4 linked regions of the Drosophila melanogaster genome follow. The protein of the gene in region 1 interacts with the protein of each later gene in a pairwise test. Each region holds a gene or a part of one and is shown on either strand. Other genes may lie near its edges.

Region 1 (6,520 bases):
TTTTTCGATTAAGGAAACTGAGTCGGCGTTGGCCAACACCGGCGCCCACCTTGATCTATCCGCCTTCTCCAGCTGGGAGGAGCTGGCCTCGCTAGGACTGGATCGTCTAAAGTCGGCTTTGGTGGCTCTGGGTCTTAAGTGCGGCGGCACCCTGGAGGAGCGAGCACAGCGTTTATTCTCTACAAAAGGTAAAAGCACCTTGGATCCCGCACTGATGGCCAAGAAGCCCAGCGCAAAGACTGCTAGTGCCCAGTCACGGGAGCACGAACGCCACAAGGAGATTGCCCAGCTAGAGGCTCTGCTCTACAAATACGCGGATCTGTTGTCTGAGCAGAGAGCGGCTACCAAGGAGAATGTGCAGAGAAAACAGGCTCGGACTGGTGGCGAGCGGGACGATAGCGATGTGGAGGCCAGCGAGTCGGACAACGAAGATGATCCCGACGCGGACGACGTTCCGTACAATCCCAAGAACTTGCCGCTCGGATGGGACGGTAAACCTATCCCCTACTGGTTGTATAAACTGCATGGCCTGAATATTAGCTATAATTGCGAGATATGTGGAAACTTCACCTACAAGGGTCCTAAGGCTTTTCAACGACACTTCGCCGAGTGGCGGCATGCGCACGGCATGCGATGCCTCGGCATTCCGAACACCGCCCATTTCGCCAATGTCACCCAGATCGAGGACGCAATCACGTTGTGGGAAAAACTCAAGTCGCAAAAGCAGAGCGAGCGCTGGGTAGCCGATCAGGAGGAAGAGTTCGAGGACTCGCTGGGAAACGTTGTCAACCGAAAGACGTTCGAGGATCTAAAACGCCAGGGTCTACTTTAGAGGACAAGCCTACGATTATGGTCGCTTGAGTACCGGTCAATTCTATATGACGCTTCCTCTAAAACCTCAACAGTCTTTATAATTCAAAACGGAATGACACTAAAATTGGTTTTATTTAAGGAATCTAATGTTAAGCCATAAAACCATTGGGCGTCCTTTTATTCATTAAAGAAAGACCATGGATCAGCCAACGATTCATGATTAGAATCAATTGTAGTTTAAAATAAACCCAACGTCGTGTAGTTTTCGATAAAATGGATAACAGTTTTAGGAATATAACATTAATTAACGATGAGGACATCCATTTTCAGTCCCAAATCATCTACCCTAGCCAAAGGAAGGAGGTAAACGGTTCGCCCTGTCGCTTGGGATTCAGTTTTTTGGGTCTGAAGCCAGGGAAACTCCTGGTACTGGGAGTCATGGCTGAAGCGGATGAATGCCTCCTGGGTAGTGTGCAGATGCACCTTAAACTGACAACTTCCGGCGGGCAGTTTAGGCGCCTGGTTTAAGCGCTGAGAGATTTTGTAGATGACAGAGCGCATGTTCTGCTCGAACTCCATCAAATGATCCTCTGCCGGTAGGCCACTCCTCTGGGTTTCTAGTTGCATTTTATAGCTCTCCAACTTCTCATTCTCCTTCTGATACACTATTAGCTCCAGGCACTGCAGCTCCCGGCGGCGAAGAAGTTCTTGTGCGGATTTTAGGACGCCGGCCAGGTAGTTATTAAGCGGTGGAAATATGGACACATAGATGGGCGAGTTGTACATCCGCTTCATTTTAAAAATGTGCGAGGGGTATATACCGCGCACGTATAGAATGTGATTCACTAGCACCTCCATCGCCTCCACGATGATGTCGGCCTTAATCTCCGCCTGCATTTCGCAAGCAAGCGCAACTAAGTTCACAGATGATTGTTTATTTTTTAGATTTAAGCTCCGTTCATTAGGGGTGGTTCACTAAAAAAAACAATGAATCGATATGGCGCGACATCATAGGTTACTAGATTACACAGATTATCTTTTTTAAATTGCTTTTCTATTTCTCGAAAGCCATATTCGTAAATTAAACCGTTGATATATAAAATTATAAATTATTAAATGTATCAAACTAATTGCATCTGTTTGGTCATTCAAATCGACATTTTAACAATCGATATTTTCAACGTTATCTGTTTATTATTTCAAAAACTTTAAGAAGGTAACATAAAGAAATTGATTTATGTTTATATTTAAATCTTTTAGTTTTTCATTATTTTAGTACTTTTTTGCAATCATAATTATTTTGCGTACTGTCCAGGAGCATTTTGTAGTAAGATTCAGTTTAAACAGAATTTAAAGAAGTGACATTTGGAGTAGAGAAACCAATACAATTCTTATTGAAACCGAATAATCTATACCCTTTCGATTTAAACAACATAAGGCGCCTATCGCCGTCTAAATGAAATCGTCTGTGGCACAAAAATATCGAAAGCGCTCGCTGACGTTAACCCACCTCTAGCTGAAAAAATGGCTGAAATCCAAGTGTGTGTGTAAAGGAAACTGTGTGTGAAAAATTTGAGTTTGTTACCAATTTGGAAATACCGACGTTGGGGCTACAAAATACAGGAGCATTGCCCACTGGCCACAGCATCTGCCCTTTAAACGAGTCATCACGGAAGCTGTTGAGCGATAAACGCCAGGCGGAGTTCCCGAAAATTGGCAATTGATGCCACTCACGGAAATCGGCACTCGGCACCCTGCACCCTGCACTTTTCGGTCACAGCGGCCTGCAATTACAGACAAGCCAGGCCGAAAGGCGACTACGCGGACTCCGGCTGGGCATCGTATCGAAAATGTGGCTACCAGGCCGAGAGCAGAGACTAGCAAGAACGAATAACTAGATGCAAATCGTGCAAATAGCACTCCCTATATGTAATATATATGTAATACACACGCGCCTGCCCTGCCGACAGTGTACACACAACAATATATCGGCTTGATACACACATACGCAGTTGCATCAGCATGTCCGACCGTGATTCCGATGCCGTATCCGACGCTGGTCCTCGCCTGAGTCAGCAGCGCGGGCAGCGGAACCGGCGCATCATAATGCGGATCGAGTTCAAGGACTCGGAGGATTCGGCGTCGGATCAAGACCGGGATGACCGCCCCTCCTGCTCCGCGGCGACGCGCCTGAGACGCAGCACCCGTCGACAGGAGGTGGCTTCGCATTCGGATTCCGACTCCGTGCCCCGGAAGTCTACGCGGAAGCTGCGCAATCGCTACGGGCCGCGGAGCGATTGCTCATCCAGCGGCAGCGATGTAAGGCATTAAAGTTGTAACCACTTCCCAGCGGCATCACCTATTAATGCACTACTTCATTCATTCCAGATCGATCAACTGCCGACGAGAACCAGAAAACGAAAGAAGGTAGAGTCCTCCGATGAGGAGGAGCCCGAGCGGACGCCCAACGCGGTTGGAAGAATCCAACCCATGCCCGCTGACCCCGACGACGGCTTCAGTTCCGACATCAGCAGTAACGATCTGCTGGAGAAGTGCCCCATTTGCTTGCTCACTTTCCGGCAGCAGGAGATTGGTACGCCAGCAACATGCGAGCACATATTCTGCGCGGCCTGCATCGACGCCTGGTCCCGAAATGTCCAAACTTGTCCCATTGATCGCATTGAATTTGACCGGATTATCGTGCGGGACTCGTACGCTAGTCGCCGGGTGGTGAGAGAAGTGAGGTTGGACCTGAGTAAGTCCAATACTGAATTGGTGGTAGATGACGAGGCAGACACCGCTGCGCTTTCCGAAGAGGAGGTCACCAACTGCGAAATCTGCGAAAGTCCGGATCGGGAGGATGTAATGTTGTTGTGCGATAGCTGCAATCAGGGATACCACATGGACTGCCTAGACCCGCCGCTGTACGAGATCCCAGCTGGGTCGTGGTATTGCGACAACTGTATTGACTCCGACGACGAGGATGATAATGAGCAGCTGGAGCTGGCTGACGACTTGGATCAGCTATACGAGGATATTAGAGGTATGGGCTTGCCGGAGACTCGTCTCAGGGTACGTGAGGTGCAGGAACCGCCAAGAATCCTGCGCACCCGTCAAAACGAACGCATAAGGGCTGCTGTACTGCGACGTACTCGCTCGGGCGCTACGTCGGCGGAAGATTCCACACTGACCCGGACTCGTACCCGCACCACCACCACAACAACAACCACTACTACAACTACTCGGCGCACAACCACAAGCACGAAAAAAAGACCTGTTCAGCGGCGGCGACGGAGAAGGACTCGCTATCGCACCTACGTGGTCGAGTACGATCTAAACAACTTTGACGAAAAGTTCGCCCTTAAAACCAGCAAGAAAGTGATAAGACGGCGTAGGCGTCGGCGTCGTCGTGGAGTCGCCACTGCCTCTAGTGAGGGGCCTGGTCGACGTCTTTCAGCCAGCAAGCGACTTGCAGAGCAGATGGGAGTAAAATCGGAAGGATTTCAAAGTTCTCATCTAAGTGGTGGAACAGCCTCCAGTTTCTCGCTATTTGGCAATGCGAACGACCTGGAGTATTTCTCCGATAGTGAGCCAGACGCAGTGAGCCAGATCAGTTCTGCTGGACTCGGATCGACTGCAGTGCAAACCTCAGTGCGCATTGGAAGCATTGGAGCACCGCGCATCCGTAAAGCCTTGCTCCAAGGCAAGGCGCGCATAGCAGCGCCGCCCACAGCTCCGACTTCAGCTCCCGCTGCAGACATACTGTCTAGCATTTTGGATTTGCAGGATCGCTGGCACGATGCTTCACGTAACCTAGGCGAAGTGCATATTAGGGCGGACGGTACCCTCAATATTCCCCAGAGACCTGCACCTACAGCGACGGAAGCGCCTTTACCGAAAGCAGGTACTTCTAAGACCGAGAAGCATTTAACCCAGGCACCGCTTTACCAACAGGGAGGAGGAGGACCTAACTACAACAGAGGCGGAGGAGCAGGCTCAAGTGATAGTTACAACAATCGTTACAGCGGCAATACCAGTTACCGCGGAGGTGGTGGAGGCGGCGCTGGAGGATCTAGCGGTGGTAGTGGTGTGCCCAGCAGTAGCGGGGAAGCTTCCTCGCGACACTTGACCGGTGAAGGAGACGGCCAAGGAGGCGGTGGCTTTGGCAACCAAAACTTTAGCAGCTCCGGCTCCAACAACAACACTAATATGTCAAGCTTTATTCCGTTCCATCTGCGATTCAACACGCCCACCCGCCAGCAGCAACCACGACAGCAAAACGTGCTGCCAGCTAACCAACCCACCCCGCCTTTCCCTGGAAGTGCACCGCCTCCAGCCCCAGTAGCGTCGTCATCAAACAATTTTTCGGGACAGACTCCAATGTTTGCAGCTCCCCTCAATCATCATCCTGCACCAGTGATGGGTATGCCAGTTGTGCTGTCCATACCACCTCCGCCTATGCCACCTGCCAGCCTTCCATGGAACAGTCCTCTCTTCAAGATAACCCCACTCCAGCAAGCACCGGCCAAATCCAACGATGGCAACCAAAACGACGATGTTGACAACTGCCCAAACTTCTCAATTTACTCGCAGGAGTCGCAGGCGGTTGCTAATGCCTCGGCGATGCCGTCAGGGGTTCCACACGGACCAGCGGATGCATCTGATAAGGTATGATATCTATGGGGTTTTCAGAATCTAGAGATATTTAACATGAATAATAGTAGGAGTATTTAGTATACGGAACCGAAGATTTTAATGTTGATTTAGGTAATTATCAAACAAATTAAGCGAGGTAAAGAAAAAAGTGATTTTGATATCAGCTTTGGTGATGAAAAATGTTTGAAGTGGGTAGTTATTAACTTTATTACCAGTAATAAAAGGCAAAATTATGCAAACAAAAAAGCATATTTAAAATTATATAGGTAAGTAATGGGTACATCATTATTCTCGCCATAATCTTCCGAAACAAAAAGATACACAAATGTATAACATTTTAATTTTCAGTTTTTAAAACCAAATATAATGTTATTGAAACCAAAGCAAGCAATATAATTAGTTAAGTAAGTCACGTTTGATAGTTTTTCAGACCAATTCTTCTTCAACGCTTACTAATCTCTAATCTTCTCTTTTCATCTTCATTTAATCCTTTCCTCTGGGACAGGATGATGACGATATGAATGAAGATTTAGTACAATTAGATGATGATGATGAGGATACGGATATACCATTGCCTTTGGGGCCTGAGCCCGAACCCGTTCCCGAAAAAGTCCCGAAAAGTAGTGATGATGACCTCTACGAGCCAGAGAATCCAACCGAAGAACCTGAAGAACCCGAAATGTTCGAAGAGTCCTGTGACGCTGTTCCAACGGAGAAGTCCGAGTCCTCAGATCACGAGCCAAGCAACTCCAACGTGCAAGCTGCAGCCCCAGAGGAAAACGATGCTGAGGAAGCTAGGACGCGCAGCACTCCCAGCCCACTGGTCAAAGAGGATCGCGCTGCGGATCGAGATCGGGCCAAGGGAGTACTCGAGCTTTATGATGATAGCGACTGGGAGGAGTTAGACATTGACAAACCGAAAGAGTTCGAGAAGGCACTGCTTACGGAAACGGAGGCACAGGTCAGCCCCAAGAGAGCTCCGTCTAAGCGACCACCATCAAAAAAGGATACAAGCTTAGAGAGAGATGTCAACGAAAGCGGTAGCGAGCAC
Region 2 (6,281 bases), on another chromosome or scaffold:
GCGACTCCGATGCACCCAAACAGAGACCCGTAAGCATTGCTGCCTTGCCACGTTCTCCACAGAAGCAGCAGCAGCCCCTGAAGCGCACCACCAGCCAGGTGGAGCTGAAGACGACGGCGGAGAAACCGACTAAAGTAACCATTGAGAACCAGGCTCATCACCGTTTCGAACTGGCCCTGCAGGAGTCCAAGGTGGATGCCGTCAACTGTGTAGTTTGCGAAAAGGCCGTCGTTGCCGGTTCGCCGTTCTGGAAATGCAAGGAGTGCAAAGATGTTACGCATCGCAAGTGTCGCTCCAATGTTCAGAGCCATTGCGGATCCACCAAGCCGACTGCACCGTCAGCCGATGATCTTAGCAGTATTCAATCTGTCTCCAGCTTGACTTTGGATAGCGTAGATGTTGCGGGTGGTACAACCAGCGGTGGCGAGTACATTGGATCGCTGGTCTACAGTTCGGATGGTGCAGAAGATCAGGCACGGAAGGAGATCGAAGTGAACTGCGCCTTTGAAGTGGCCGAGCAGCAAATACTCCTATTGGGCTGTAACACGGGACTGTATGCGTATCACTTGGACTCGCAGCGATTGGTGCACATTTCTGGTCTCGAATCGGTGAGCTGCATGTCCATTTGCAAGCGCCTGGCTAAGGCTATAATGGTGGGCACAGTTGGCGAGAAGCTATATCAATGTGACTACCGCCAGCTGGAGTCACGCTGTCAGAGCTCCAGTTCGTGTCACAAGCCTGTGCTGGAAACGTCGGCCATTGAGCTGCCATTTGCCAATCGCACGCCATCGGAGAAATGGAAACTAGTGCTGATCTCCGATGAGGCGGAGAACGCATTGGATTCGGTGGCTATTGCGGCCACGTCCACTAGGATTGTCATCTTGAAGTACGACCTTAAGCTGCACATGTTTAAGCCAGTTCGAGCCTTGGACACGGCCACGCCGGTCACATCCATATTCTTTACGCGTCACTCGGCCATTGTTAGCTCGGATAAGTTCTACGAGATCGATTTGGACAACTATGCGGCTGAGGAGTTTGTGGATCTGTCCGATAAGTCAATGGAGAGCACTGCCAAGTGCCAGCCCCTAACTGCGGTGCGCATCTCACGACAAGAGTATCTGCTCTGCTTTGCCGAATATGGCGTCTTTGTGGACGAGTTTGGCTGCAGATCCAGGCCGTACGATTTGAACTGGGTCTATGCACCCACTGGATTTGTTTACCGCGATCCATTCCTATTCATATCGCACTATCAAAGCGTGCAGATAGTCCGTTTGCATCGGTCGTTCAGCAAGGAAATGGCCAGCGGGGATAACGCATCGGAGAATTCGGAATCCCCGGAACTGCAGCGCGTCTACTTGCCCCACTACATGTCCACGCTGCTGGCCAACAGCGGAGATGTCAATCTCTATGCCGTGGCCATCGATCAGAGGCCCTGCAATGGAACACAGAAGATCTACCATCTGGACACGATGCAGGCATTCAAGCAGAAGTTCAATATCTCCATGGAAACGCTGTCTTCAGTGGCCACTTCTGTGACTTTGGGCTCGACTGTCACCGGAAATAGCATATAGATGAAGGATATATATTAACTAAACGAATGGACAAAGCAAAATACTACAAACTGAGTAGTTGTAGTTATATCTAGGGTTAGGATATGCTATACATTTGGATTATTATTATTTTAACTTGTCAGAACATATGTTTTTTCACAATCTTTTTCATGTGTAACGATTGCCTAAAATCACATGGCAGAATCTTTTAAAAATTACTTAATTTACTCTTTAAATACTTTGTGCTGTATACACAAATAAAACTTGAGATTTTGATAAAAAAGGTAATTCATATTAAATTAATATATTTATTTTGATCACTAAAATATCGAAGCATATTAAAGGAAATATTTTTTAATTAATTAAAGAAGTCGCATAATATTTTAAATCAATTTTACTATGCAGGATAGCTTTTCGAATAGAATAGTTGGGGGCATGGAGTCGACGCCAAGCTTTTGGGGCTGATCCCACGCAGCTTTTCGGCAGCAGCTTTCAATGTCCCGCAATTCGAAAGCCCCGGAAATGGAATCGTGCTCTCCGCTGGCATTACTGCCATCGTTGGCTTGGCCGCTGGACGCCGGACTGCTGCACTGCCGCCGTCGCAGATTGTGTTAATTGATTTCAATTGGCTCCACGCCATTTGAGTGGCCCGTTGAATCTCCCGACGATGCCAGCAACGATGTTTGATTCCCAGCTGAGTTTGTGCGCGGGTCGCATTGTCGCCGATTCCACCACCACCACTACCTCCGGCATGGATGGATGCGATGGTGCCAAGACGATGATATGCCGCGCTTGTCTTGTGCTACTGGGTCCGCAGGATGCGTGTCACAATCTGGACAGCGAACAGGATCTGGCCAGCAAGTACTACGGCTGTACTGGAGAGGATGCCGTTAGGGATTTGCCACCCCAGTTGGTGCTGAAAAGCATCTGCGAGTGCTGCTATCAGTTGGTGCAAAAGTTCCACGACTTTCAACGCATGTGCGCAGAGTCCTTGCGCAATTTTGAGAAGCTGCTGCAGGACATCGACATCGGATGCCACAAACTGGAGGACCACACTTGGCACGACTTGGACACCCCCTCGGAGAGCAACGAGTCCACTAATCCGGAAGCCCAGTCGCACGCACCCTGCATCGCAGCGACGCAGGAGATTGTGAGTTTTATCTGGCCACAAGTGTGCCTGCCTCTGGCCGTAATCTTATCTAGAATCACATTGGGTGCTTCGCTCGAGGTGTGTTGCCTAGCAGCCAAGCAAAGACAATACTGCTCCCCATTCCCCGCCATAAACAAAAACATTTCGACAGCGTTTGTTTGTGTTGTACTATTTTTGTTTGGTGGGTGATAGCACTCGAAAAGGAGGCACGTCCCAATCTATTGGGTATTTTTAAATTTTCCACTAATAAAATTGGGAAGATGGCAACACGCCTCGATTTATGGCTCCTCCAAATAAGAAAGTCGATTTTAAAGGCCAGTTTTATCTAGAATAGATAAATGTGTTCCCTAACTTTCACTCATTTTAGATATTATTTATAGCGCCTTTAATATTTTTAGCATTAAAAAACTAAACTAAACAGATAAGTGACCGCCAAAAGTTCGGTTCACAAAATATTACTTTCATTTTATCATCTTCTAAGTCGAGCGATAAGATAATCTTAATAGCAAATTAAGGAAAAATTTCCACTTTAAAGTAATGAGTAAACATAATGTAATTCCTACCCTTACTACAAATTACTTAACTCAACCAAAAGCAGTTTGTTTTTATATGCTTAGACCCTTTTTACATAAAAAATTCCTTCATAATAGATATGTACAGAATTCCCACAAAAAAAAAAAAAAACCACCACCATTCAGTTTGCTATGGTAATTAAATATATAATACCCTAAATTTTCCAGGAGGAAGTCTACGTAATAGAGGACGAGTCAGCCAAACAGGATCTGGGCCAGGAGAAGCTATCCATTTCTAGCAAGTTGCTGGGTGCCAGAAAACGACGAGGAGTGCGACACACCCTCGAGTGCCGAATTTGCCACCGTGGCTTCTACAAACCGTCGCTGCTGGAGGCCCATATGCAGCAGCATGAGGGTCTGAGACCGTATACCTGCGTCCATTGTGCCAAGAGCTATGCCCGGGCCAATCTGCTGGAGTCGCACCTGCGGCAGATGCATAACAATGCCGACGCTGCGCGGATCATCTATGCCTGTCCGAGCTGCAACAAGGTGTACACAGCGAACCGAAGTCTCAAATATCACATGAGAAGGACGCACGAAAGGTATCACGAGTCAGAGTCCCCGGATGCGCGGCACATTTGTGAGGAGTGTGGCAAGTGCTTTGCGCGAAAGGCACATCTAACGCGCCACAAGATGGTCCATGGTAGCGTTGAGGGTCGGAGATACTGCTGCGAATGCTGCGATCGCAGATTCTACACCAAGGAGAACATGGTGGATCATCTGCTGCGCAAGCACGGCAATAAGAATCTGCTGCTCAGATGCAGAAAATGCGGACGCATTTTCCAGAACAGCGTGGAGCTCAACGCTCACGGGAGGAAACACAAAGCGATGGATGTAGTTCAATAATTCGTTTTATTTGTGGTTTCAATAACATCAAGCTAACACAACTGTTACAATGATTCGAATTACTTGGAATTTTGTTATGCCAGTATTGTGGGAGAATGCCGCATAATTGGAGATACTAAGACGACGCGAATGGTTGACGAATCGATGAGGCTGCCCTAAAATTAGCTAACATTCACATAATGGCCGGCGCAGCAGCATAGTCGCTTAAAAATCATCAGTACAAAAAAATGGCGATGGCGATGGCGCGCACTCGCAGTAGTTCTCAAAAAAGTAATCATGCGTATATAAAACAATTAACTAAAATTTATCCTTAAGCTTAAAGAACGGATGACAGTTTTAAAATTACATTACCAATACATTCATTTATCATTAATTTGTAGGGAGGAGGAAAGAAATGAGAATAAAAACCAGATTATCCGTCAATCGATCGACAATTACATAAGAAACGCACGGGGTCTTTTGCCAAATGAACTATCAGCATTGAACGTTGTTGAAATTGATCTGGTGATCCACTTAACTGATGGTACTGTGTTACGGTGGTGATTGATGATTGGTTTGTTGGTTGGCAGTAGGTCTTCGGATGAGTGGAGTTGCTTGCACTATATGTAAATAAATACGCCGCAATATGAGCATAGGATATATGACAACGAATTGCCAAACTCTAGGTGTCCTTGTGCTTCTCGTAGAAGGCGTCTAGATATTTTTTGTACTCCTTTTGGTCATTCCACATCATCGCGGCCTGCGCATTCAGTGGACTCTCGTTGTTCGGTTCGCCCAGCAGGGATTGTATGGACAGCAGAATGGTGCGCACATCGTACAGGGCCGACCATTTGTCCTTCAGTATGTCCAAACAGATGGCGCCCTGCAGATCAACATTGGGATGGAAGCAGGACGTCAGGAACTTCACCACGGGTGCTGCATACGGATAGGAATTGGGAAAATCCAGTGACAAACGATACGTTTGCCCCGAATACACCGTGTTCCGTGGACCCGCTATGGTGCCCACCCACTTGAAGATGTTCTCGCCGTCCGGAAACGCTGAGATGCCCCTCTCGTTGGCCATCATCAGGTTCATCAGTTCCTTGTGCAGTCTGTGGGTGAGTGTGAGTGTGTGTGTATATTGGCGGATTATCTAGGCTGCACCATGTGCTACTCACCTTTTGCTCACGGCGTGATTGTCTTTCACGGGCATGGAGTCATCGCTGTGCTTGCTGCCGCCGCCGCCTGCTCCACCACTTTGCTCGGGGCTGATATTCTGCGCCATGACTATATATCTACGTCTATATATGTAGGATGCTAGTGCTATCCGCTGTTTGGCTTTCAGTATGTGCGTGTAATTTAGCGCGCTTCGTGGCGGTCGGGTTTTCGATTCTCAATTGTGATTATATGTACTGTATAGTGGAAATTTAGTTTGATCGGTCGGAATACGCGTCTGTTGCTTTTTCAGATATTTTTTTTTTCACTTTTGTGTGAAAACAAAATGGAAGGAGAACGAGAAGAAACTGTGTTTGGGCACAGGGTTGTATTTCATTTATTTTTGGGGGGAGTCGATACGCTCTCTTGGCGTGGTCGAACGGTCACACTGGCCGAGAGATAACGGAAAATGTTTCAAAGGTAAGTAAAGATTATAAACGTATTAAGCTTAATACTATAATTAGCTTACTATTCCAAGTATGTATAATTATTACACGTTTAAAAGGCATAACGTTAAGTGTAACCAAATTATATCAATGGATTTTGAATACCAATATTATTTATTTTATATTTTGAGCTTAATATATTAAATCACATATATTTAAGCCTCTTTATATATGTAAATATTTTAATTTTATTAAAATAAATTATATATTGTTTTGTAATATGATCGAGGGCTGCCACCTTGTGATAAATGCTTACCAACACTTTTAGGTACGCCGTTTAGTGTACGTAAGTTGCGTACCTAGATATCCAGCGAAATCAAAACATTGAGTAAATCGTGGAAAATGGATGAAAATAGCTTAATCTACGGACTCGAACTGCAGGCGCGGGCTTTAACACCTCAGTACGGAGAGAGCAACGATGTGTGCTTCTTCATAGCCACCAACTCCTTGAAGCCCACCAATCAGGTTCACTTAATCCAGTACGAGGAGGAGCAGGGATCCGTGCAATCAAAGGTGAATATCT
Region 3 (5,826 bases), on another chromosome or scaffold:
TCATATAAATAGATTTGTTGAGCAAATGAAAATTACATTAATCATTTATGCTTTGCTGAAATAAATAAAACCATTGTTGCCACTTTACTGCGCGACAAGAGGCGACAGCAAATGTTGATACCCTTCGGCGAGAGATGACAGCAGGCTTAAATTAAATATTTGCAAGGACGCAGGACGAAGTGAGCAGAGTGCGGGCCAAAAGGACGAAAGAAATCAAAGAGCAGCGAGCAACGAGAAGCCCAAAAACGCAGCGCCACATAAATGTGGGGCATGCAGATTGAAGTGTCGTCCGGAGACGAGGACCATGGCAAACGGGAAAACGGGAAAATGGTTCCATGGAAAATCAGAGGCATGTGGCAGGCCATGGAAAATGCCATTCAAGTGCGACTTAACACCCCTCAGACAGCTTTTAGGCAGTGAAAATTGATCGAAAGACTAAGAGCAAACATCGTTGACTGACAGCGACTTCAAAAAATCCAACAGAAAGCAGTGAGAACAGCGCAAAAGGGCTGCAAAGCGGCAAGATACTTTCCCAGTATCTTCGAGATACTTCAGCGAAATGTGCAACAATGTGCCAGCATCGATTTTCTATTAGCCACGAGACACTTGAGCCACAAAACTAAATACAGAGGGCAAATATTGATAAATACGTAACGACACGACGACGACGAGGAAGACGGAAAACCACAACAACCACATTATGAATACTACTAAAGCTCGTAACTGTCCATCGACCAGACAAGAACATAATAAACACCGTTCATGGGTCCGAAAATAAAACGCAGAACGTAACTCGGAAGAGGTCGCCACATCCTCATCCCCATCCACATCCCCTCCAGAACTCGATGACCACCTCAGCCAATGTAACACTAGAGCAACAAATGCGGTCAAATCGTTTATTATTGAAAATTAAATGCCCCTTTTAGGCGTACAGAAAAAAATTGTAAGTAAAGAACATATTGTTTTAATTTGCGATATATGTTCTTCTTTCTTTAAGTTTATATTTAAGTTATTTAATTGCATTTCAATAAGTGATGGTTACAAAAATCTACTATTACAACTAATATAGCATCTATGGATTGATAGCATCAAATCCAAAAATATTGTTTTCTAAATATCCCTTAATTGCTAGCTTTAGAATCAGGCTATTTTATGTATTTAGATAACATTTGTTTTCTTTTTCTCCCAGTGTAAGAACCACTTACCTGTTAGGGCTGCCAAATTCAGAATAAATCCAATTAGCCGCATTGCGAGAATCTCAACGAATATGAATTTGAATTCCTGTGGTTACTACACAAAAAACCGTGAATATGCTTGCGACCTGATTACGAGTTCAAAGTGCCAGCGGCGCGAATTATTTCATTTATCTAATATCAAGTTGTGCCGCGAGAATTCACATCAATTGTTTTGACTTAGTTTCGCACAACTCAGTTGGTTTTCCGTGAGCCAAGCTCGGCGATTCGGCGCTTGAGCCGGAGTCCAAATTCCGGACTTCGGATTTCGGAGCCGAGCGCAAAAGGAGAGCTCAGAGAGAAAGCCAGGAGAAAGGCTTTCTCTGGCGACACGAAGTGTAGGTGAACCGACGCGCACGAATTTTACTTTATCACTGAATTTGATTTTTTTTCGCATCTTCGGCAATCGCCGGACACAATGTTGCTGGCAACATTGTTGCAGAGGGGAATTTTCGAGTTCGAAAGTTTCTGGTTCGATGGAAGGGGGAATTGAGAAAAAGCTTGAATAAACGGTTCAATTCAAAATATACAAATCTGATAAACAAGAAAATATTCAAACTAAGCGCTTCTATTAAATTTTAAAAGCTCTTCGACACAGTGCTATAAAAATCACATAACATAATTTATAGCAGTGTAAGTTGAACTGAGGCTTTTGGCATTGTGCTATACAGCAATGTTATTTTACATTTTATAGCAAGAACGAAACTTGGTGTTATATTAGACTGTTATAATTTATAATAAATTTTGAATTACAAAAATCGTAAGAATTCGTAAATTTTAAACATTTATGATATGAAATCTTAATTTTGAGGGAAAACTTACAAAACATTTTTGATTTGCCAGATTTATGAAAACTTTGAAAAATATGTAAATGTAAAAATGTAATTTTTTTCGTGCTGCAGTATTTTGTGGTATTTTTCATAGACCCTGTACACGGTATTAATCAGCTGTGTTCTCACAAATGCGTTTCAGCTGCTCACCGAAATTCAATGTTTTGATTTTGCGAAATGCCGGGAAGGAAGTAAATAACTATAAATTTGTTTAAATATAATGTATAATTTAATTTAATGTATATAATTTATACAAAGGGCACGGCGAAAGTTAATCAAGAAGCAGCAGAGGAAGCGGCGTCGTCAAAAACATGCCAAAGAACGTGATAAACTGGAGGAAGAGGCGGAAAACCAAAGACTTATGCAGCCGGAGTACCAGAAATGGTCGCAGGAACAGGAGGAAATGCAGGAATTCCAACGACTAGCCGACGAACGGGAGCGCCAGTTGGCGGAGGAGTCCTGGCTGCGACGCGAAGCCACAGCGCAGCGACAATTCCAAATGGACGAGGCGAAGAAGCGTCAGGAGCAGGAGGAAGTGGAGCGTTTGCAGCGGGAACAGGCGAAAGAGCGGGCGGAACGGGAGGAGAGACAGCGGAAGCAGCGCGAGGAAGAGACACGAAAAGCCGCCAAGGCTGCCGCCGAATTCGATGCCATGATGGAGAGCATGGATGAGTATCTGAACAACCCGCGTATCGAGAAGCCACCCAGCCACCTTCTGCGTGTAATGGAGACGCATCCGGAGGAACGAGCCTGCGAGTTCTTTAGCCGCACCAACTGTTGCCGCTACGGTCACGCCTGCACCTTCAACCATCGCCGCCCGATGCTGGGAAGGATCCTTCTCATCCGGCACTTCTTCAACCATTCCATGCTGCAGAAGCGATGCACGCACAAGGAGTACGCCTCGGCGGAGGAACACCTGGAATTGACCGAACAGGATCTGCGCCACGACTACGATGAGTTCTTCAACGATGTCGTCGAAGAACTGAGAAAGTTCGGCACCATTGTCAACTTCCGCACGGTGCGCAATACGCTGGAACACCTCAGGGGTCACGTCTTTGTGGAGTACACAAACGAACGGTTTGTCTGAGAGTATTAATTATCATTATTATTATTTAATTAATATGACATTGTTTATATGCAAGCAATTCGGATATTCAAATGCAGCCTATTTCCCAGCATTTTCATGTAAAAGTTAATTCATATAATTCACAATTTTAATTTATACCTGTTCTCTCGCCAAAAAATATATATATTGTATTGTCTCTGCGCTTGCATACTTTTATGTTATGTTAATAATGTCTAAAGAGGTCATAAACTAATTATTATAAAGCGTACGTCATGATTTCAGATCTGCACTTCGCGCATTTACCAATCTCCAAGGTCGCTACTACGCCTCCAAGCGACTAAACGTGGAGTTCTCCAATCTGAGGACCTGGCGCGGCGCAGTCTGCGGTACGTGAACTGCATGCCAAGAGGAAGCCGTATCCTTTAAAAAACCAAAACTCAAAGCAAGCCCATTCATATGTTTTAATACCATTTTCTTTAACACAATCTGTGACTTCTTAAAGGTTTGTCCTTAACACGTAAATGTCCCAAAGGTAACGACTGCGGCTATCTGCACCTGTTTGGCAATCCGAACAACCTGTTCAACACGGAACTGGAGTACACCAGCGGTCCACGCAGTGAACGACGCTCCAGCCAAACTCCAACGGCCAAGACACCCAGGTGGATTTAAATATAATATTAGTTTATATTCCGGCAAACTATTTAAATACTTTCCCTATCTCTTCAGTTGGGATGAGCACAGCGAGCACGGCAGGAACTGGCGCTGGTCGGCAAGCCCCGAGGTTGAACTGGAAAACTCCAAGGACTTGGGCAACCGAGGTCGGGATCTCAAAAACAACCAACAGCGGAATCATCATTCCAGGTCAAGAAGTGACCGGAGTTCCGTGCGCTCTAAAAGAGAGCACAGCTCCTCGGGATCTTCACATGACGATCGCAGATCAAAGAGGCATCATCATCATCACAACTCCACAACACCCGATCATCAGCACAACCATTGCCAATAAAAACCAAAGTATTAATTCAAGTGTTTTCTTTTTTATGGGATCTTTACAAAATTTTATTCAATCTCTTTGTGGACAAAACATGAGTGTCTCAAACAAAATACTAAAGAGATTCCGAATTTCTTGCTTGAATGACAGACAGTGGGTCAGAGCGAAACACTTGCAATTTAGGATTGCCTATAAATATTTAAGGTGCGATCTGAAAACGACTCAACTGTTTACAACGGAATAGAATTCTACGCGTAAAATTGGCAGTTTCGAAGGTAGGGAGGAAGGAGAAGTGAGACTAAGTGCTGGGTGCTAAGGTGTGATGAAAGCAGTATTGTGGATTTGGTGGGTGGGTGGTTTTGTGGTGTTTGTAGGATCGGAAATTGTAAATTCTAAAGTCTATTTGTCTTGCTTTCTTCCGTTTTCGTCGTACACATACAAACAAAAATTATACAAAAACTCGTTTAAGGAATATTATAATAAGTAGCTTTAAAATTAGGCAAACAGCGAACGCCCAGCGAGCCGCTCTATAGACGGATGCCGGGATTCGTGGCCGCCACATAGCGCAGCAGCTCCTCGTTGTCCTCACAGATGACGGGCTTCTCGTGGTAGCAGGCCACGTCGTGCCAGGCGATGCCATCGTTGTACACGTTGTTCAACACGGACAGGCACTGCTCCTTGGTCTGGTTGATGTCGTATTCGGCGTTGTCCGGCTGCGGGCGCTTCTTGTGGCCAGTCTGCGACCATGGGTTGTAGCCCCAGCCCTGTGGGATGCGGTTGGTGGCCTGGATCTTCTCGCGGGTTGCGGACCAGAACCATCCATAGACGGTCTTGGGCTCCAAATCTGGACGATTCTCGCAGCCAGCAAAGTCACAGATACGTCCGGCCGTCCAGATGTACGGCACATCGTTCTGCTGGATCACGCGGAAGATCAGATTGTTCTTCTCCTGAGTCTCCAGGGCGACCAGATCCATGCAGTACTCGCGGCACAGATTGCGACCATCCAACCAATCGACCTTCTTGTTGGCCAGCGCGGGCACGTGGGTGGTTAGGAACATGTTTTTGCCGCGGTAGGAGAACTCCTTGGGACCTGCGGGTCAGCGAGGAGAAAGTCGGTTAGCGGAAACTGTTTTCATGCTTGCACTGAGAAAATAGTAGGGGTATGTTATGGCTTTCCAAAATATATAAAAAATAATTTAACTATTGAATAATAGTAGACCTTTGAACTTTAAGATTCAAACTTAGATGCATTTTTCCTTTGCTTCCGAATTAACTAATTTTTTTCCCGTGTGGGTGTGGCATGTGGCAACCGGTTTTCCGCGCCGCTGCAGCCTCATCTTCATCTCCATCTCCATCTGAAGTCGGAGGCCCAGTGCAATATCTCACAGCCTGCCCCATCATGGGCAAACGAAACCGAAAGCGAGTAGCGCCGAAAATCAAGAGATACTATATATACCAATGTGGATGCCAGTGGATGAAGCTGCCCCGGGCCTTACACAACTTCCCCGGTGGCGGCGTGTTACGCAATCCGCGCAATTTATGCAGCATGCTTCTTTTTGCGCCTGCCGCCGACGCCGCCGCTTTCCTTTTGTCTTGGGTGTCAAAAGGTTTTCAGCTTCCCCGCGTATATATTTGCTTTTTAGCTTATTTTTTTTTTCGAGGAAACAATGGGATCCCCCGCCTGACAACTCCATCCTCGAACTTGTTTCG
Region 4 (4,945 bases), about 10 Mb from region 1:
CGATGACTCCATTACGGTCCTGGCGAGATCCTGTCCACGTCTGCGAGCCTTGGACATCGGGAAGTGCGATGTGAGCGACGCGGGGCTTCGAGCTCTGGCCGAGAGCTGTCCGAACCTGAAGAAGCTCAGCCTGCGCAGCTGCGACATGATCACGGACCGCGGGGTGCAGTGTATCGCATATTATTGTCGCGGTCTCCAGCAACTGAATATCCAGGACTGTCCGGTTTCCATCGAGGGCTACCGGGCGGTCAAGAAGTACTGCAAGCGCTGCATCATCGAACACACAAATCCGGGATTCTGTTGAGATGTTCCATAGCCGGCGGTAGACACCACAAAGCACAGAGGCAGGCCATATGAGCACAGATATAAAGGGAATTTATGGGCAAAGAAAACTCTTGAAAAACAAAATAGTTGATGAAGTGGCAGGCAAATTTTAGCCATACACGGACTTTTGGGTCCTCAAGTCCCCAAGTCTTAGTTCAATGATTAACCGATATAATCTATTGGTTTGGATATAATTTAAATTGTTCTCTGTAATCAGCCACCACTTTGCCCGAGCTAAATGAGATTATTGTAAATTGTATATATCAAACTGACGCAGGACAGAACTAGCGTAGCATAGAGCATGTTCAGTAGACTATGTCTAAGTAGACTAATTCTTGGAGTAATAAATTATTTTCCCCACCAGAAACGGTTCAGTGCTTGGATTTTGATTTTTTCGCCTTTCTCCCCAGAGCGTCGAAAATGTTTGGTTTCAATTGCGGCACATGGTCAAGGATGTACGGAGGACGTACGTCCATAATTTCCCGCGTGTAGTGGTTGCCGTGCTTGGTCTTGCGCAGCCGATCCAATTCGATGGTAGCCTTTATTGACGGCCTGGAGCCCTCCGCTGGAGTGATCTTTATCTTGGTGCAGTGCCCCCGCTCCAAATAGTTAATAGTGGCGATCAGGGAATGTATATCAGCGATGACGGACGAGGTCTGCTCGTGGATTTTTAGCAGAGCCTTCAGATTGGCATATATCCTGGCCAGCCGTTTGTCCACGGGGGATTGATTATTAGGATCACAGTTCTTTTTCTGATGCGGAACTGAGTACTTGATGAACTGGCGTTCGTTGCCCTTCGGTGGTTCAGGAGTCTCCTTGCACGGCTTGGGCACCAACCGCTCCGACACCTCCATCAGTCGCACCTGCTCATCCAAACTGCTCAAGGGCAGCTTTCGCATTATGCGGCGCAGCTGCTTGCGCTTTTTGGGCGTGAGCAGGTGGTGGTGCTTCTGAAAGCGCTCCACTCCGCGGTGCAAGTTCTCCATCATCTTTACCCAAACGTCCATGCTCCTGCTCTCCGCCTCGATTTCATTCTGGAGTCGTACGCGCTTTGAGCGAAAATGCCGTATTTGTCGTTGTAGCGACTTCGTCTGATTCTGATCATTCAAATGCTCGCGGACCAGACGGTCGTAGTCCTTTTTCCAGTTCGGTTCCTGAATCATTGGCTTAACTAGGGAATTTCGAATTTTTAAAAACGATAACTGACAAATGCTATCGATGACAAAGTAGTCGTGGTAAAAATATTTAAATAATTGGTTTTAAAAATATTTCGATTCTCGATGATATAGCTATTATATATATCGATAGCTAATTATGAAAGCCGTGTACCATCTCCAATCAGCTGTTTCACCTGCTTTTCGCCGCCTGCTCGTTAGTAAATATCTGGAGTAAAAGCTAAAATTTACCTGGTAGCTCAATACAATTATAAATCACATTCGAAATTAAGTGTTAAAAGTTACGTATGCATTTTTTTAGAAGGACGCCTTTTAAATAGTACAATTGGAACACGGAGGGTCACTACGGTGTTGCGTAATTAAAGCGACACGTTTTCTGAGACCCAAAATTAAGCTGTACACATAGAATGCCGGTGTTTTGACGTACGAATCCAAGGAATACAAGAAACCGTCATGGCCAAGTATATCGCCCAGATCATCGTGTTGGGCGCCCAGGCAGTGGGAAGAGCCTTTACCAAGGCGCTGCGCCAGGAGATCGCCGCATCTCAGGAAGCAGCACGACGGGCGGGTGGTGGCAAGCAGGGCGACAAGAGCGCCGAGTCCAACCTGCGCACAGGTGAGTCTTGGACACAGTCATGCTATCTATTTCACTATTTACACCTACTTATCAATGCAGGCATGACGCTGGAGGAAGCCAAGCAGATCCTGAATATAGATGACCCCAAAAACGTGGACGCTATCACCAAGAACTACGAGCATCTGTTTCAAGTCAACGAACGCTCCAAAGGCGGCTCCTTCTATATCCAGTCAAAGGTTTTCCGGGCGAAAGAGCGGCTGGACCATGAGATTAAGGCCCATGAGCAGCCGAGGTCGTCAAATACGGAAGCAGCGCAAGATACGGCGGAGGAGTCTCAGAGCAGATCGCGGCAGCGACGCTGAGTATCCTTGTTGTCCCAATCGAACTAATTAGCTGATAATTGATTTAAAAACTACGTGTTAAGTACAAAAAATGAAAGTCTGTTGCTGTAAATAGAGATTTACGAACATGAAGACAAGTGTAAACACTTTCTGAGAAGAGCTCGACTTTCCAGGAACACAAATGTAATGGAATTCTTGTAAACTAACACGGATTAGCTCAGGCGGTTAGGTATAAATATTTTACTCTCAGGCCAGGTAACTAGAATCGGATCGATTTTAAGATCACGCTTCTTGGGGTTTGAAAATAAAAATATTTTAAGTATCAACAAAGTTCCATGTCTTGATCTAGCTATAGCTAAAATTATGCTGATGTAAATAAACTAATGCTGCAATGGGCTTCCAAACTTTCGCAATAGGAACTTGGAAATTTTAAAATCAGCTGTTGCAGAAGCCAGAGATGCGCGAACATATCGGTAGAGCTATCGACCGACAGCAGTCAGCTGTTCGATGGGCAGCACTGGCCGAGAACAAACCGAAAATAATCATTACTGGTGCGCAGTTGTTGTTTCCATAGACGTGTCAATTGTTTGTCTAATTGCGCCAGCAGCAGCAAAACGACGCCAAAGCACACATGCGCATTCCAGCGCACAAATATCCCACCCACGAAAATCGCAATACCATCGCCCCAGCAACGCGGAGGAGGGGGTGGACTCCACTTTTCCAGGGAGAAAGCGAACGTACGCATACGAGAATCCGAATCTGAGAATCCCCAATCCCCGAGTCCAAGAGAGCGAAGACGACACTCCAGCTCGGTATTTGAGACATCGACATTCCGCTGCTCCGTCAGTTTTCAGAGGACCTTCGAAGTGGGCAGCCGAAAATCCAAAAGTCTCCTGGCAGCGAACGGAAAACCAAAGAGAAAAAAAATAAGAAAAGCAAAATCCAGTTGGCAGAGAAAAGCTCAAGTGGTAATTGGCTGCGACTCAAATTACTTTAGTTGTGCAAATAGCGAATAGCTATAAACCCAAAAAGAAAAGAAACTCGAGCGTGGCGTGTGTCCATGTGGAAAATCGATCGAATCGCAGAGTATTTATCGTGTAATTGTGCCCAATAGCCACGCAATTCCCAGTCCGTTTTATTGATTTTCCCCACCGCCTCGCCAAGTAGCAATAAAAACCATTCTTTTACCTTCCATCTCGGCCATCTGGACAAAGCAATTGCAGCGTGAAAAATTCAAATTTCAAGTTAAATGCGAGAATTTACATAACGCCGAGCGTTGAAAGTGAAACTTCTGTGGTGCGAACGAAACACTGAAAGAAAGGAAAACCCATTACAGGACATTCTATCTGCCTCTGCCCAGTGTAGTAAAAGTTGGAGAGCCAGGAGCGGGAGAGCAGTGGAAAACCGTGAGAACCGCGAGAACAAGAGAGCCTAGAGAGCGTTGAACGTGCGCACGTCTTCCTGGTCAGGACACACCACCAATCCTTGAGAGAAACAGCAGGAGCCAACATGTTTTCGGGCCTAACAAATCAATTCACCTCGCTGGTGGGCGCCGTTAAAGGAGGCGCTGGCGACGAGGATGTGCCCGCGCCCACAGGAGATGCGCCCGCAGCCGCTCCAGCAGCATCCACATCCGTGGAGGCCACGGCCTCCTCCGCCGTGGACCCGGAGGCAGCTGCCGCAGCCGGTGGCGAAGGACTCGAGGGCGAGGAAGCTGGCAAAAGGTAAGTGTGAATCGAACAATGCGCGCTGGGTAATCCTTCGGCCCATCTTTCTAGTCTTCCGTGACTGTGACTCCGAAATCCAGACTTCAGTCGACCTGACATGGCGTGCCAATGTGACCTTGCTATTTGTACCTTTTAACATTTCGCTCCGTGGAGTTCCTACCCTCCAGCAATCGCTCCTTTACGGTACATTCATCATTGTTTTGACACACTCCGCTTATCCTGCATTTTACGTTGCATTCCGCACGCTCTCACGTGACTGAACATAATTGCTTAAACTGGAATCCAAATGCCCGATAATTTCACTCCCATATATATCCTATATGGCTCCGCTTCCTTGCGAAGCTAGTCGACTGACTTTCCTGAACATTTCTGGCTAGCAATTTCGATTTGAAAATGCCAGGCCAATTTGTGGTTTAAATGGATTTCGTTTGATTATTCTTGAAATGGCAAATCGCATTGTGAAGACTGTATTTCTTTTTAATTGTTGAAATATTTGAATCGTTATAGAATATAGCATAAATCAGTCTTCAAAAGAGTCTCTCAGCTTGGCATATATGTATTACTTAGTATGGTAGACTGTCAGTAGTGTAATTCTCCAAGCGAATTTATTTGCCCTAATTTTGTTGACCAAAGGAAATTCCTTGAACTGTCAGCAAACGGAAAAGAGCAACTCCATGCTTACTAACTTCCGACTGGTTTCTTTTCTTTTACTTCCCTCAAACTGAGTGGATAGGACTGCCCTATTTCTTTTCGACCTCGCCGTATCATTTGACCTCGTCCTTCGCGCTTCTTCTGGGTACT

What was found.
Region 2: the proteins of CG2926 (region 1) and CG10654 interact in a two-hybrid assay, tested with the Drosophila melanogaster proteins (one large-scale study listed by BioGRID).
Region 3: the proteins of CG2926 (region 1) and CG3294 interact in a two-hybrid assay, tested with the Drosophila melanogaster proteins (one large-scale study listed by BioGRID).
Region 4: the proteins of CG2926 (region 1) and CG5478 interact in a two-hybrid assay, tested with the Drosophila melanogaster proteins (one large-scale study listed by BioGRID).

What each region holds. Positions count from the first base shown.
Region 1 is NT_033777.3:5,584,133-5,590,652, reverse strand, and holds the start of CG2926 (uncharacterized protein), read left to right. Parts: upstream 1-2,272; 5' UTR 2,273-2,835; coding exon 2,836-3,132; intron 3,133-3,201; coding exon 3,202-5,481; intron 5,482-5,817; coding exon of another isoform or gene 5,818-5,865; exon of another isoform or gene 5,866-5,873; intron 5,874-5,974; coding exon 5,975-6,520. Other genes in the region: noi (noisette), read left to right, coding at 1-832; PolZ2 (DNA polymerase zeta subunit 2), read right to left, coding at 1,114-1,710.
Region 2 is NT_037436.4:12,503,647-12,509,927, reverse strand, and holds CG10654 (uncharacterized protein), read left to right. Parts: upstream 1-2,087; 5' UTR 2,088-2,217; coding exon 2,218-2,778; intron 2,779-3,440; coding exon 3,441-4,118; 3' UTR 4,119-4,554; downstream 4,555-6,281. Other genes in the region: sti (sticky), read left to right, coding at 1-1,571; vih (vihar), read right to left, coding at 4,780-5,209, 5,276-5,382; CG10646 (uncharacterized protein), read left to right, coding at 6,101-6,271.
Region 3 is NT_033779.5:4,792,433-4,798,258, forward strand, and holds CG3294 (uncharacterized protein), read left to right. Parts: upstream 1-2,225; 5' UTR 2,226-2,239; coding exon 2,240-2,253; intron 2,254-2,320; coding exon 2,321-3,139; intron 3,140-3,410; coding exon 3,411-3,514; coding exon of another isoform or gene 3,515-3,522; exon of another isoform or gene 3,523-3,543; intron 3,544-3,630; coding exon 3,631-3,787; intron 3,788-3,854; coding exon 3,855-4,131; 3' UTR 4,132-4,149; downstream 4,150-5,826. Other genes in the region: fipi (factor of interpulse interval), read right to left, coding at 1,206-1,248; slf (schlaff), read right to left, coding at 4,644-5,206.
Region 4 is NT_033777.3:15,932,200-15,937,144, forward strand, and holds CG5478 (uncharacterized protein), read right to left. Parts: upstream 1,536-4,945; 5' UTR 1,488-1,535; coding exon 696-1,487; 3' UTR 501-695; downstream 1-500. Other genes in the region: Fbxl7 (F-box and leucine-rich repeat protein 7), read left to right, coding at 1-304; blp (black pearl), read left to right, coding at 1,953-2,115, 2,176-2,438; Sap47 (Synapse-associated protein 47kD), read left to right, coding at 3,927-4,141.